Tamandua tetradactyla: one gene and its partner. The protein of the gene in region 2 purifies or fractionates together with the protein of the main gene of each other region. This does not show direct contact. Links are inferred from orthologs where the notes say so. Each region holds a gene or a part of one and is shown on either strand. Other genes may lie near its edges.

The links. Proteins that work in one complex are often made in the same cells at the same time.
Region 1: the proteins of protein S100-A4 (region 2) and PPFIBP1 purify together in Homo sapiens (co-immunoprecipitation; 3 studies listed by BioGRID and IntAct, with this or other methods). This does not show direct contact. The link is inferred for Tamandua tetradactyla from reciprocal best matches to the Homo sapiens genes S100A4 and PPFIBP1.

The regions. Positions count from the first base shown.
Region 1 is NC_135333.1:90,538,790-90,545,994, reverse strand, and holds the start of PPFIBP1 (liprin-beta-1), read right to left. Parts: upstream 3,023-7,205; 5' UTR 2,804-3,022; intron 1-2,803. UniProt on the Homo sapiens protein: May regulate the disassembly of focal adhesions. Did not bind receptor-like tyrosine phosphatases type 2A.
Region 2 is NC_135330.1:6,367,892-6,374,764, reverse strand, and holds protein S100-A4, read left to right. Parts: upstream 1-4,158; 5' UTR 4,159-4,221; intron 4,222-5,157; 5' UTR 5,158-5,172; coding exon 5,173-5,313; intron 5,314-6,072; coding exon 6,073-6,237; 3' UTR 6,238-6,370; downstream 6,371-6,873. UniProt on the Homo sapiens protein: Calcium-binding protein that plays a role in various cellular processes including motility, angiogenesis, cell differentiation, apoptosis, and autophagy.

The DNA.
Region 1 (7,205 bases), on a different chromosome or scaffold from region 2:
CACTATTGACTGCTGAGTGTTGATTTTTTTTCTTTTTAATTTTAGGACCAATGACTTTCTAGGGACATCTCAGTAATTTTTTTTTAATAATTATTATGCACTTCCTCTTGCTTATGTTTTCACCTTATAGCAGCATTTCCATAATGAAGAATCAGGACACAGATCCAAGCAAGAATAGGATATTCATTCATTAACTGTTTTGAAAAGGTAACTCAAACCAGGCCAGAAACTGCAATAATATTTTTGAAAAGATAGAATGCTCAACAAGGTCTTCTCTCAGTTAACAGCTGGAAAATCAAGCTGTTTAGGATGTAGATAATAATTTTTTAAACCGGAGATGAAAACCTCAGTTATTTTTAATGTAACAAATTATTAACATAATGTAAATTAACTAGAAAAATACAAATATTTTATGAATATGAAAGCTAGTCAGTAACTGAGGGGGAGAAAATGACCTTGCTCTATGCACTGCTACAGTAGTGACAAAAGATTATGTAAACAAACTAACTCCCTCAATGAACTTGTTTCCAAAGACTGTCTATGATGCCCTTGTAATTAAACACTACTGACTTGAAACTACAGTGTATCCTGAGATTTCAAGCCAACATTTGTCCCTAAGGGCCAGGTTATCCTAATTATTAAAACAGCTACTGCAATTATAATAGTTGCTGGTCAAAGAGAATTTAACCAAAGCCTGGTCACATTGTTCTCTTTCAAGTTTTGTTCTTTGAAAGTACCATGTTTTATTATACCACATCTGCCTCATAAACACAGAGTAAGAGAAATATTGGTTCAAATTAATTACATAAACTTAATGTTATTACTCAAACTGAATGAAATTTAAAGCTTTGATATATTGTTTCTTAGGGTAGAACTAGCTTCTTGGAAAGAAAGTATCAATCAGAATTTGGCCCAGCTACATAACCTTCTGAAAGCAGTCTTCAGTTGACTGGTTTTTGCAGCTCCATTCCTCAGTTAGACCGACTAGCATTTGAACACTCCATCAGCCAAGGTTCCAGTGAGCTCACATTTGCCCACAGGAATTCCACATCACCTCATTTTCTTTCCTACTGAAAAAGTACACTGGAAAATACAATATGTTTTAGTACTTCCTATAGTACATAAATAGAAAAGACTTGCTCTGTATTACTTCAGAATCATTAGCAATTTCTGTTCATTAGCCCAAAAACACAACCCAAAATTGAAATGTGCTCACTGTTCCACGAAGCACCTTCCCTTTTCAAAAAGCCTGCTCTTTATCCACTTTACGCTATTTATTGTTTTCAGGAATGAAAAGCAGTAACAATAACTAATAACAAGACCCACATGTTTTATAAACAATAGCGAAACAAGATCACTTTTTTTTAGTTCTGAAATCTAATTGTCATCTGGCTAGAAAGATGAAGAACCCCACCCATAAAGTCCCCTATCTGCACTCTTCCTGACTTAGGTTTATTAGACACAACGTTGGAGCTTCTTTCTTTCCACATCTCCTAGAACTGCCCTTTCCTTCAGGCGTCTGGGATATAGCTTTTGCCTCACAATGAAGTCCATGCCCATTCCTACTGACCTGGCGACTGGGGGATCACCACTATCTAAGCAATTGCAGGGAAAGAAAGGGAAAACCCAACTCAAGAGTCTCAGTCCATACTGGTTTTTTTCTTCTCCAAAATAAAGAACCTTAAGCACTGACTAAAGGTTCTCAATCAATTTATGTACAAACACACACACACACCACCAAAAAAGTCAATCACACCCATTCAGTGCCCTGGACACACAAATCTGCAAGTAGGAAAAAGGAAAAAAAAGGTTTGAAACAGGAAATAAGCAATCAATTAAAAATCAGAATTCTAGTCTTTCACTTCTCAAAATAATCCTTTTCCCCCAGACAGGCAACTGCTCTCCCTAAATACCAAACTTGGACTTTTAAATCAAAAGAATTTTAAATCAAGTTCTTTTTCTATTGCCATTTGCAGTTCTTGTTGAAAGGAAGGACTTGTTCTGGTCCCACAAGTTGGAAAGTTCATGTTCCTATAATTAAGAGTTTGTATGCCACGCCTTCCACCACATTTCCCTGTTAAAATTCCCTTCTCTAAAAATGCTCCCTGAAAACACAACTACAGCCCTCATTCTTTTCTCAAGCAACCACAGGAAACAGATCTGAAGATTCTCAGCAGCTTTCTTAACCCCTCCAGATCACAAAGTTGGCAACTGAAAGGGATTCTCTGTTAAAATGTAAGCACGAATTAAAAAAAAAAAATTGTAAGCGTGAATAAGATCTGAAGAATTGGTGTTTTAGAGGTGTAACCCCCCCCAAGAAACCAGTTTTTCCCACAAACTCATAATACACCCCAAATAAATTTCTCACATCCTGCCTGGAATATATAAAGGGATGGTTTAACGCTGATATTCTTTTATTTATATTGGTATATAAAAGGCCATGGGCGAACTGAAAATACACACACAAAAAAAAGTGTTTTTTTTTTCTCTCAAAGACCATAATATTTGAATCACTGATCCATAAACACTTCTCTGATTGGGGTTTTCAAATACTATTGGGAGACCAGGGTGTGGGGAACACAGAGGAGACCTTACATGTCCAATCCTGTGGTATTTTTCACATATAGGCTAGTTCGAAGCCACCACCACCCCGGCCCCCCAAAGTGCCCGTTACCATTGGGAAACAGGAGAGTTGGAAAAGGAAATTCAGCCTGGGAAGAGGAGGGGCAGCTGCAACACCCAGCTGCAACCACACAACGGTGCCACTTTCCTCCCGTCCCCAAGTGGAGCAAAACACCCTTACCTAGAGGGGTGGTGAGCCGCCGGCACTACTTCCAAAAGTTGTGGTTCACCTTCCCTCGGAGTTCAAAGTCCCAGCACTCCGTCCCCGGCGCAGGCTCGCCCTACACAACTCCTCTGCCGTCGCGCTCCAGCCTTTCCCCACCCTCTCTCCCCTGCACCATGTCAGGAATCCGGGCCAGCACCGCGCTGGGAGCTGACATCACTCCCAGTTCCAGGTACCTCCCCCTCCCACTGTCGCCTTCTCTCCTCCCTCCCTCCAAGAATTAGCCAAAGAGAGTTAGCAAGGGCGGGGTGGTGGCAGCGCCTGGGCTCCGGCTGATTGGACCCAGGGAAAGTCACTCAGGGGAGTCAACTTATTTTATACATTCCTTGCTGAGCGAGACTTCGGCTGGAAGTGGGTGTTGATGGAAAAAAAATGCTGCCTTCCCTGCTATCTCTAAAGAATGGAGATAATGATACAAGGAAGCCCTTGCAGATCGAGTTTTAAACTTTCTTGGCATATTTACTATATGCCAGATCAGAAACGAAACTAAGCCCCCTTGTTAAGGGGAAAAAAAAAATGCCTCTGTCACGGGCAAGTACGATTCCAGCGGCGCGTGGTGCAGAAAATGGCTTGCTTTACTCATGCAAATAAAGGAAAACGCCAGCTCTTCATTCTCCCCTTTTATCTTGGGACTGGTGGGTGTTCCCTTAGAATGAGAACGTGGAACTTCAAAAGCCTTTGGAAAGATTTGAAAGTGAATCCTAGAAACGGCGACTCAGCTCTGAATTGTTCACTGGTGGCGGCGTTATCAACCATGTGGCTGCTTTTCTTTCAGCAATAAAATCACACCACACAAGCTTCCAAGCAAATAAAATTGAACCTCTGGGGTAAGAAAAAAATTACTACCTACCTTTTTAGGGACTCTACTGCTGTTTTAATGCCTAACTGAGAGGGGGCAGGAGGGATGGGAATGGGGACACAATTCATTTCAACAAATCACATGAGAATAATTACACTTCAATAGAACCTATTGGAGTAGCTGAACTATCAATTAAGAATTAGCTGACATTGATCTTTGACGGATATCATGCTGTATAATCCCCTTGGCTTATAAACAAAAAGATTCCCAGGAGAGGGTTCTTTCAATTTACATAATAGCTGCTTCAAGGCAGAACTGAATGGTGAAAAGTGGCTTTATCTGTAAGGTAGCATACTATCTACCTATCATTTTGAAGTACAATGAATTACTTTTTGGTGCTATTTATTTTTTTAATTGATGACAACACACCATATATTTCACCATTCTGCCAAAAAAAAATTGTAGAGGGACAAAAGCGTTGGCAATGTGTATTATTTAACCCTTATAATCATCCTTGTTACCTCCATATTAACAAGGAATCAAAGGCTCAGACAGGTTACCTAACTAAATTGCCCCTGTTCACCCAGAACTGGAATGGAAACAATGTCTGCTTGTCTCCAAAGGCATTTTTTCTTTTTATATCTAAAGTATTGATTATCTATACCTCTCAGACACCACATACTAAAAAAAAATCTACAGACCCAGGCCACTGCTGTCACAGACCTTATTTTACATTATTACCATCATGTTTTCTGTTCAGACTTACACTATCCCAAACTCCTAACCTACATTTCTTACTCCACTTTTCCCCATCACTAATTCTTTATATGCACCGCTACCAGGTGAGTCTTCTAAAACAATGTTTGGTTTTGTCATCAACATCCTCCCCTCCAAATCTGGTCCCCCTTTCCCTGCGACTCTTTTCTAGCCATTTAAAACTCTCCCTAATTTGGTATCTATTTACCTTTCCCATTTTATTTCCCACTTTACTCTGAGAAACCCTCTGCTGCAGACTAATAAGGTCTACTCAGTTCCATGCTTGGTTCTCACCTTTTGGCCTAACTGAATACCCACTCTTCCATGTAGTTAGTCCCACCTTTCCCTCAAAGCCCAGCTCAAGTCCTTGTCCTCCACCATGCCCTGGCTGTGTACTACAGTAGACAGAAATAGGGTTTTGGGTCCATCTCCCAGCTCTGCCTCTTAGATCCTGTGTGGCCTTGGACAAGTCACTAAACCATTCTGAATCTCTATAAAAATGGGGCTGATGATACTACAAAGGTTATGGTAAGCATTATTGAGATTGTACAGATGTGTAATACATGGTAATATATGTCTCATTATACCCATTTCATGTCTTCCCATATCCTGAACAGCAAGCTCTGTGCTTAATAACCTCTTTCTATTCCTTATGCCCATTTCGTGGAAAAGGCCAAATACTAAAGTGGGCTACAGATAATGGATCCTTATATCACTTCTAACTAGCCTGGATTCCTTAAATGCTCCCTGTCCTCACTCAAATACTCTCTTAGTCATAAACTTCAACTATCTTCTCTTTCTTTTTATGCTTCCACTAGAACCCTTCCCTTCCCCCAGCCTCTCACCATTCATTCAATGTAACTTCCTCAGATAATCTTCTGGACCAACCACCCATTTAACCTGTCCCTTAGAGTCACTCATAATTCCTCTTCCCTCACTCTCTGGGACACACTAGTCTATCAGTGCCTCTCGTCTGCCTTGCTCCCCAAATCCCTTCAAATAGCTGCTGGGTTGCTACCAAGCATTCCTCCAGCCCCAGTCTTAGGATGGCTGCATCTCACTCACAGCTCACATTCTCCAGAAACTACAACCAGCAGCAAGAGATGAGGGAGGGACTGTCCCACCCCCAAAAGGATGGCAGGATAGAATAACAGGAAGTCGCCTCCCATTCCCTCTGCAGCTGGAGTGATAACAGCTGCCATCGGAGTTTAAAACACAAAAGACTTGAGGAAAGCTGAAAACAGGGAAGTCTAGAGCAGTAGTGCTCAAATCAGGGGTTACGTGGTAGGGGTGAAAAAGGAACCAATGGGTGAGATTTCAAGCTCCCTTCCCCTTCTCCCTTTAATCAGAGTTAAAGTAGCTTGGCTCCTACCTGTTTTACATCCAGCCTTTCCCTGTCATGTTTCATTTTAAAAAGTGGTTCTAACACTTAAAAAAAAGTATATTAAACCACTGGCCTCTGGGTCTCTTGAGGAAACTCCAAGGGATCAGGACACTGTAGCAGAAGCAAGACAGGATACCTGATGGGCAGCTGAAAAGTTAGCAAAAGTACACTGCAAAAGCAGGAGAAAACCTGCACAGAATAACAAAGGCAGAACTTGAAATGGGCCCTAAAGGTCATCTTGACCTTTTGGAGTGAGAACCCCTGCTATAGTATTCCTGACAGGGTGCCTTCTAATCCCTGCTTGAATTTATCTGACAGCAAGGAGCACACAAGCTAGGAAAGCAGCTCATCATTAAAGATCTTTCTCATGGCCAGCTGGAAACTGCTTTTCTGACTTTTTCCCCAAAGGCTCCAGTTCTGCCCTCTGGAAGAAGAGAGAAAAAGTTGGCTCCTTTTGTAACTTCATCCCCAACTTGTGTAAGCATGAAAACACAGTCCCTACTTAGTTTGTTTAGATGCTCACCCAACTCGTCAAGTTCATGTCATTTTACTGTCTATCTTTACAGGCTTCTGGGTGCATGCTTCTTAAGTACAGCCCAGATCACTCAACTCCTTTCAAAACACTTAACTGCCTCCCTCTTCCCAGAGAACAAAGCCTAAATTCTGGACTTGCATCCAGAATTTCCATCCCCATCCTCAACTTACATTTCTAAACTCAAAGTCCACACTTCCTCATACTCATACTACATAGCCATATTCTCTGATACTGTCTTCTCAGTTAAAGAATGACTTTTGCCTATTGCTTAGTGAGTTCAGAGTTTCTGTTTGAGGTGATGAAAAAGTTGGAATAATGATTACTGGTGATGTCAGCACAATATCATGAATGTAATTAGCACTACTGAATTTAGCACTCAGAAGTGGTTAAAATGGGAAATTTTGAGCTGTACATGTTCCTACAATAAAAAGTTTTAAAAAATGTTTGACTGTTGCCCTTTTCTTCACATCTTTATGCCCTATCTTCAAGGCCTAGTTCAAAGACACTTTTACCACAAGACTTCCCTGAACCCTTAACTGGAAGTAATAGCTCCCTCTCCTAAAACATAAATGACTTATTACAGTTCAAGGCAGATATGGGGAGTGAGAGTGTGGGCTTTAAAGAAGGTCAGGCCTGGTTTTGAAATCAGGCTGCAAGATCTCAAACCACTTTTTGAGTCTATTTCCTCATGCTGAATGTGAAGATGAATACTAAAAACCACCTCACAGGGTTGCTTGAGGATCTGATGAGGTATCAGACACAAGGTCTCAGGTTAAATTGTCTGACACATAATAGGTCATCAGTAAACAGATGTTCCTTTTTTTATGGCATAAAACAACTGTACTCTTATTTTGTGGGGGGCGGGGGGGGAATGCATGGTCCGGGA
Region 2 (6,873 bases):
GATCTCAGTCCCTTCCTCCTCTGGGCACCTGGATACCCTGCCCCAAGTCTAGGCTATCACAGACAGTTAGCTGCCCCCCCCAGCCCCCCACCAGTCATGACCGTGAGGCCATTTGCTCCATGGGGTCTGCAGAAGGGACTCAGTAGGGAGAGAGCCTGGCCCCTGCTGCTCTGCGGTGCAGGGCTCCCGTCCCTGTCCCTGGGGGAGGCGGTGGTGAGTCACAGGCTCACATGGAAACAACTCTCCTGCCTGGCTGCCTTAGGGTTCCCCTGGCAGGGCATCGGCCCAGAAGGGTGGGGGGAGGGGATGGTGAAATTGGGGTTGGGGGGAGGTGGGCAACTCCAGGCAGCGCTTCTTGGCCTCTAACAGAACAGGGCACTTCTACAAAGAATCTTCTATCTCAAGAACCCCCAGGTCGGGGGTGGCCTCAGGGTGGGGCCATCAGGGTGGGGTCAGCACTGGAGCCAGCAGGGCCTCCGGAGACCATCTGGCCCGGATCCCCGGCTGGACCTGAAAGGCGGAACTAACCACATTTCACACACCAGGCTAGAGAGGGGCAGAGGCGAGCCTGGAGGATTTTCCTTGAGTTTGGGGAGGAGGGATTGTAGGGGAGGGTGTTGGGACGTCCCTCCAGGCCTCCCCCCACCCCCCAGCCCCACCTGCTATGTCCAGCTTCTCCAAACGCCTGAGGACAAGTCAGCCCTGGGTGAGGGTCTCTGTGCAAATTCTTACAAGAAGGAGCTCTGGGGTCCTGAAGGGGGCTGCATCTCAGAGAGTGGCACAGAGTGGGATTGCCACCTTCCTGGGTGCTGGGGGCTGAGAAAAGGTGGGATTCATCAGGAACCCGCAGGGGTGCAAGTGGTGGGGTGGGAGACACCCTCTTTCCTTGAGGGACATGCAGTGATGTTGGGGAAATAAGATCTTTGTTGAGAAAAATCACAAGGGGTGGGGGTGGGGAGGCAGTAATGAGATGAGTTAAGAGGAGCTGGTGGGGCCTAAGAGGGCTTCTCAGAGCTAGGGTAGCTTCTGGGGCCCCACACCTGACAGAGACTGAGAGAGGCCTGGGAGCACAGAGGGCAGAGGTGAGCAGGGACGCTGGCCTGGGACCCCACCATGAGTCGCCCTCTTGCTCTGTTGCAGAGAGAATGACCTGTCCCCTGGAACAGGCACTGGACACCATCCTGGAAGTCTATCGAAGATATGTCACCGCAGACGACAGGCCCACGCTTTGCCAGACTGAGCTCAAATTGCTGCTGCAGAGGGAGCTGCCCACTTGGAGGCCAGTGAGTACCCGGATGTGCCTCTCCTTCGAGTCTGCAGAGTCTGGGCCACCCACGAACAAAGGAAAGTGAGAAGGGAGGCTAGGAAGGGACCCACCTGGCAAGCAGGTGCCTCAGTTTTCTCCCCTGTAAAACGAAGTGACGACAGTCCCACCTGCTGCATTGGGAGGGTTGAGTGCAAACACCGTGAAGAATGCCTGGCATATAATAGGCGCTCAGTAGCAAACAGTTGGTGCTCAATAAATGATCTGAGAAGGAAGATTTGGAGTGGGTGGGCAGGGTTGAAATAGGTATGCAACTGGAACCGGCTGGCTGAGGTTGGCCCTCCGAAGCAGTGTGGATTGGGAGGAGAGGGGCTTCCTCGGAGGGGAGGGACAGAAGAGGGCCAGTCCCCCTCCCCCAGCTCCTCACCCCTCCCCCCCGCTCCTCACCCCTCCCCCACCTCCCGTCGCACAGACTGAGCTTCGGGAGTGTGACTACAATAAATTCATGAGCCTTCTGGACACCAACAAGGACTGCCAGGTGGACTTTGCGGAATACATGCGCGCACTTGCCTGCCTCTGTCTCTACTGCCACGTGGCTTGGAGAACTGTGCCCCGGAGGCTCCCTGCGCCCCGGAGACTGCCTGTGCCCAGTAGCCTGCGCCCAGGGGGCCGGGAGGTCCGGACTTGCCCCGCCTCTGCCCCGCGTGGTCCGGGGCAGGTCACCAACAGTCTCCCACATGCCCCTCTGCCCTCCTTCCTAAATCTCTCTTTTTTTCCTCTTTTTGGGGGTGTGTGTGTGCCTGGGCTGGGAATCGAACCGGGGTCTCCCACATGGCAGGCGGGAATTCTACCCTGAGCCGCCCCAGCACCCACCTATACTCTTTTTAATGAGGGATCTGCCAGGTCCACCCCGATATGCCGCCCCATATCATAGGCTGCGCCGCAGTGAGGGATACAGCAGCCGCGGGCCCCTCTGCGCCCCCTCTTCTGCCTCCCTGCTGCGATGCCGGGCCCGGGGGCGGGACGCGGGGCTGCTGGGGGGAAGTGAAGACCCGGCAGAGCGTGGCCCCAGTGAGGCCGAGCACCCAGGGGCCCAGTGAGACCGAGCACCCGGGGGCCCAGTGAGACCGAGCACCCGGGGGCCCAGTGAGACCGAGCACCCGGGGGCCCAGTGAGACCGAGCACCCGGGGGCCCAGTGAGACCGAGCACCCGAGACCCCAGTGAGACCGAGCACCCGAGACCCCAGTGAGACCGAGCACCCGGGGGCCCAGTGAGACCAAGCACCCGAGACCCCAGTGAGACCGAGCACCCGAGGTCCCAGTGAGACCGAGCACCCGGGGGCCCAGTGAGACCGAGCACCCGGGGGCCCAGTGAGACCGAGCACCCGAGACCCCAGTGAGACCCAGCACCCGAGACCCCAGTGAGACCCAGCACCCGGGGGCCCAGTGAGACCGAGCACCCAAAAGGCAGTTTAACTCCTAATAAAGAGCTGGTGTCAGCGTGGCTGGTTTGGTTCTGCTGAGAGGACAGGCCGGGTCTTGGGGCGGCCGCTGGCTGAGGCTCTGCCCTACCCGGGCCTTTGGGGGGAAGCGGGCAGCTGAGGGGCCCCCGAGCAGCCCACGCACCCCAGGGCCGTTTCAGACCCGGAGGAAATGACCTGGTCTCAGCAGCCCGGCAAAAGGGGTGGGGTCCCACGCAGTGACTCCCATCCTGGGGGAGGGGCCACAGGGCCTCTCTCTGGGGCCCCTGAGGGTGGAGTGCCCTCCAGGCGGGGCAGCCAGTGGTTCAGCGGGGACAGAAGAGCTGAGCTCGACCCAGCCCAGCCCTCGTGACAGGATGCTCTGAGGCGGGTGGGGCCGTGGGGCGGGGTGGGGGGGGTGTATGCCCAGCCCAGGGCTGAGGGAGCCCTGAAAACAGGATTCATGGGTTTAGGATGTCTGAAGTGTCTGCACCCAACCAAGGAGGGGTGCCCTGTGTTGGAAGGGGTAGGGGAGACCTTGGGGCAGACCCCATTCCTGAGGTCATAGTTACCGAGGGCCCAGACCCCCACTTCCGAGCTTCACTCTATCCCTGGGGTCCTCCCCCACCCTGAGCCTCAATGCCCCCGCCCCCGCCTCATCAGCTCAGCCCATCAGCCCAAAACCCCCATCCTTGAGCTCAAGCCCCTCCCTGGAAACTTAACCCTCATCCCTGACTTGTCCCTATGGGACCATTTCACCCCTGACTCCTGCCCCAACCTGGCTTCTGAATTCCTGACACGCACCCCTACGCCAGCCACCCCCACTCCCACCCCTGTCCCTAACCACCCCACCCTTGTTTCTTCACCCCATCTCTGAGCCCCGTCCCCCTCCACCACTGCATGCCACCTCACCCAGGTCCTTTGTTGACAGACATTCTGGGGCGTCCTGAGCCTGCTTTGGGTGTCAGCCAGTTCCCCGTCCTGAGTGCCCCCTGTTCCCCGACCCCATCACCATGGCAGGTGCCCTTTGGGGAGGGGAAGGGCTGATTGAGCCTGGGGCTCCCCACCAAGCCCCATACTGTCAGGGGCATTTGCCATCCTTCCCCCACCACCCCTGAACCCCTTTTCCCAGGCCCTCCTACTCCCTGACCCCCACATTCCATTCACACACCGCCCCCTCCTCTAGCTCCAGGAACCCCAGGTTGAGCTCTGTGCGCTGGGCATGCCCACCCAGCGGAGGTGTCTGCCCAGGCTCACTGGTGCCCACCCACTGTCCACCTGGGCCTGCCCGGGGGCAGGAAGCTTGGTTTCCTGGGCAGGATGGTCGAGGGGGCTGTGGCAAACATGGGCCCACAGCAGGAGGCCAGTCTCCCGCTTTCCCCCATCCCCTGCCATGGGCAGGGCTTGGCCCCGGGTATAAATAGGTCAGACCGCTGGGCTTTCCCCACTCTTCTGTCCCCAGCCCTCTCTCTTTGGCGCTTCCTCTCACTTGTCCTGGTGAGTTGTGGCTGCTTGGCTGGCATGCAAGGGGTGTCTGACCCAGGCTCCGGGGCAGGAGAAAGGGAGGTTGGTGGGGACCAGATGTGCTAAATGGATCCAGATGTGCAATTCAGATGTGGAGGCTCTGGGGTGGGATGTGTGTGTGCAAGAGAGAGAAACAGAAAGTGTGCAGGTGTACTGAAAGGCGGGGGCTGCAGGCAGTGTTGTTGGGGTGTGCTGTGGCATGTGTGTGACCCATGGCTTGTGCTTGCTGGGTTGCATATGGCCATGTGCGTACGCCCAGCAGTGGGAGGCAGATGGAGGCAGAAGGCACTGTGGGCTTCTGTCCGGCAGTGTCCCAGGAGCCTCTGCCCTGCACGGAGCAGCCCAGCCCGGGAGAGCCCGGCTTCCCCTCCCCTCCTCTAGTCTTTCTTCCCTTCTTTTTCCTTCTCTCTTCTCCCCCCTCCTCTTCTCCCCTCCCCTCCCATGCCTGCCTCTGCCACCTCACCCTGCCCCTCCCTAGGCCCGGCAGCTGGTTTTTTCCGCTCCAGGCCCCTGGGCTGGGCTCCAGCAGCCACACCCAGCCTGGAAGCAAGAAGAATGGCTCAGGGTGGAGCCGCTGCCCGGCTGGGGGAGTGGGGGGGTCTGTAAGGGGTGGAAACAACACTGTGGTTGAGACACGACCTGAGTGAGGCCCAGGGTGCTGGCGGCTTGAATCTCCAGAGCCTGTGCAGTGGACCCTGCCAATGTTTGCTGCCTGGAGCTTGCATCTCCCACTCTATACAGCCCCTGACGCCACCAGGAGCTGAGCCCCGCCTCTGTAGGCTCCCCCCACGGCAGGACCAGAGTCTCATCAAATGCTCCATGAGGGGTGGGGAGTGGGTTGGGGGCTGTGGATGCTTAGCTGGCACGTAGGGTAGATAAGGGTGCCTCTGTGAACCCCCCCACCCCCAGATCCTGATTGCTGCCATGGCGTACCCCCTGGAAAAAGCCCTGGATGTGATGGTGTCCACCTTCCACAAGTACTCAGGCAAGGAGGGTGACAAGTTTAAGCTCAATAAGTCAGAGCTAAAGGAGCTGCTGACCAGGGAGCTGCCCAGCTTCTTGGGGGTAAGTAGGTGCCCAGAAGAGGGGCGAGGCCCTGGAAGGTGCTAGTCTTTGCTACAGGTGGTATCTCTCACTGGAAGGGGGAAGGAGGGGGCAGAGAGCTTGCCCTGGCTGCCTTCAGAGAAAGACAGCCGGTGCCCAGCATGCACGGGTCCCCGGCGCAGGCTGATGGAGGGTGAGTTACCAGCTGGACGTGCAGCCAGGTGCTTTGTACTTATTATGTAACTTAGCTGAAGGGAAAGCTGACGCTCAGGGAGGCTAAGTAACTTTGCAAAGTGGTCCATGCATGCAACCGAGAGCTGCACCAGGACTCTTGCTGCCACTCTAGCAATGGAAAAATTTTGAGCTTCTATTTGGCTTGTGAATGTGCCGATGTAGCTATGGAGGCTGGCATACGCCTACAGATCTCCCCTCAAGCAATAAAGCAGCTCTCATCCATGTCAAACCGTCCCTTGTGTGCTGTTTTATGGCCATTACCTAAATGGAGTCTTAAAACAGCCTTGGGAAAAGATGTCCCGCCTTTTCAGTTGACAGCATCCAGGTAGGTATTCAGCAGAGTCCTTCTCACCCAAGGGACAGCCTCCTCCTGCACTAGCTTCGCCCTGAAGGTGGAAGGTCCTAAAGCCTGGGCTTCCCAAGGAGTGGCCAAGCACCTTCTCGAGCCCAGATCTGGGGGGGCACTCGGTTCTCGTCTGGGCTTCACTCCCTAGGCTATGGCGCTTGACCTGTCGCCTCCTCACCTGTCGCCTCCTCTCTCTCCAGAAAAGGACGGACGAGGCCGCCTTCCAGAAGCTGATGAGCAACTTGGACAACAACAGGGACAATGAGGTGGACTTCCAGGAGTACAGCGTCTTCCTGTCCTGCATCGCCATGATGTGCAACGACTTCTTTGAGGGCTTCCCCGACAAGCAGCCCCGGAAGAAATGAGTGACCCCGAGCTGCGGCTGCGGGGGCTTGGCCGGGCCTTGGCTGGGGGCCGTGGGGGCGGTGCCTTCCCCTGGCTCCTCCAGACTCGTGTGTGATGCTGAGCAACTCCAATAAAGAGTCTTGAAAGCTTTAAGGCTGCTGGTCTGAGAGACTTGGTGTGCGGGGTAGGGGCCGGGGGATACGTCCGGGGAAGGCGCAGGCTCATGGAGAGGCAGCTCAGCTGCAGATTTTTGGGGAGCAGACTAGTGGAGGGGAGCTGACCAGGATATGTGCATGGGGAAGGGGCCGGGGAGGACAGAGCTGGCTTTGGATGGCGCTAGGAGCAGGGAAAGGGACCACCGGAGACCAGGGGATCACAGCCAGCCAGCTCACCCCACCCACCCCTCTCCAATCTTGCCTGTGGCAGGACCTCTAACTGAGGCCCAGATGGGATGGAAGGTCACATCTGCTCCTGGTTGGGGTCTGGAATGGGCTTGGGTTGCCAGGGAGTGAGATGGAAGGAAGGAGTCATGGGGAGGGAAGGGGGGATGTAGCAGGCCGGGTGTGTGGGTGTGAGAGCCCGGGGCCACAGGGGGCGGGGAGGAGGGCTGGCCCGCAATCCTGACATTTGCAATCAGGACCCACAGGGACAGATTC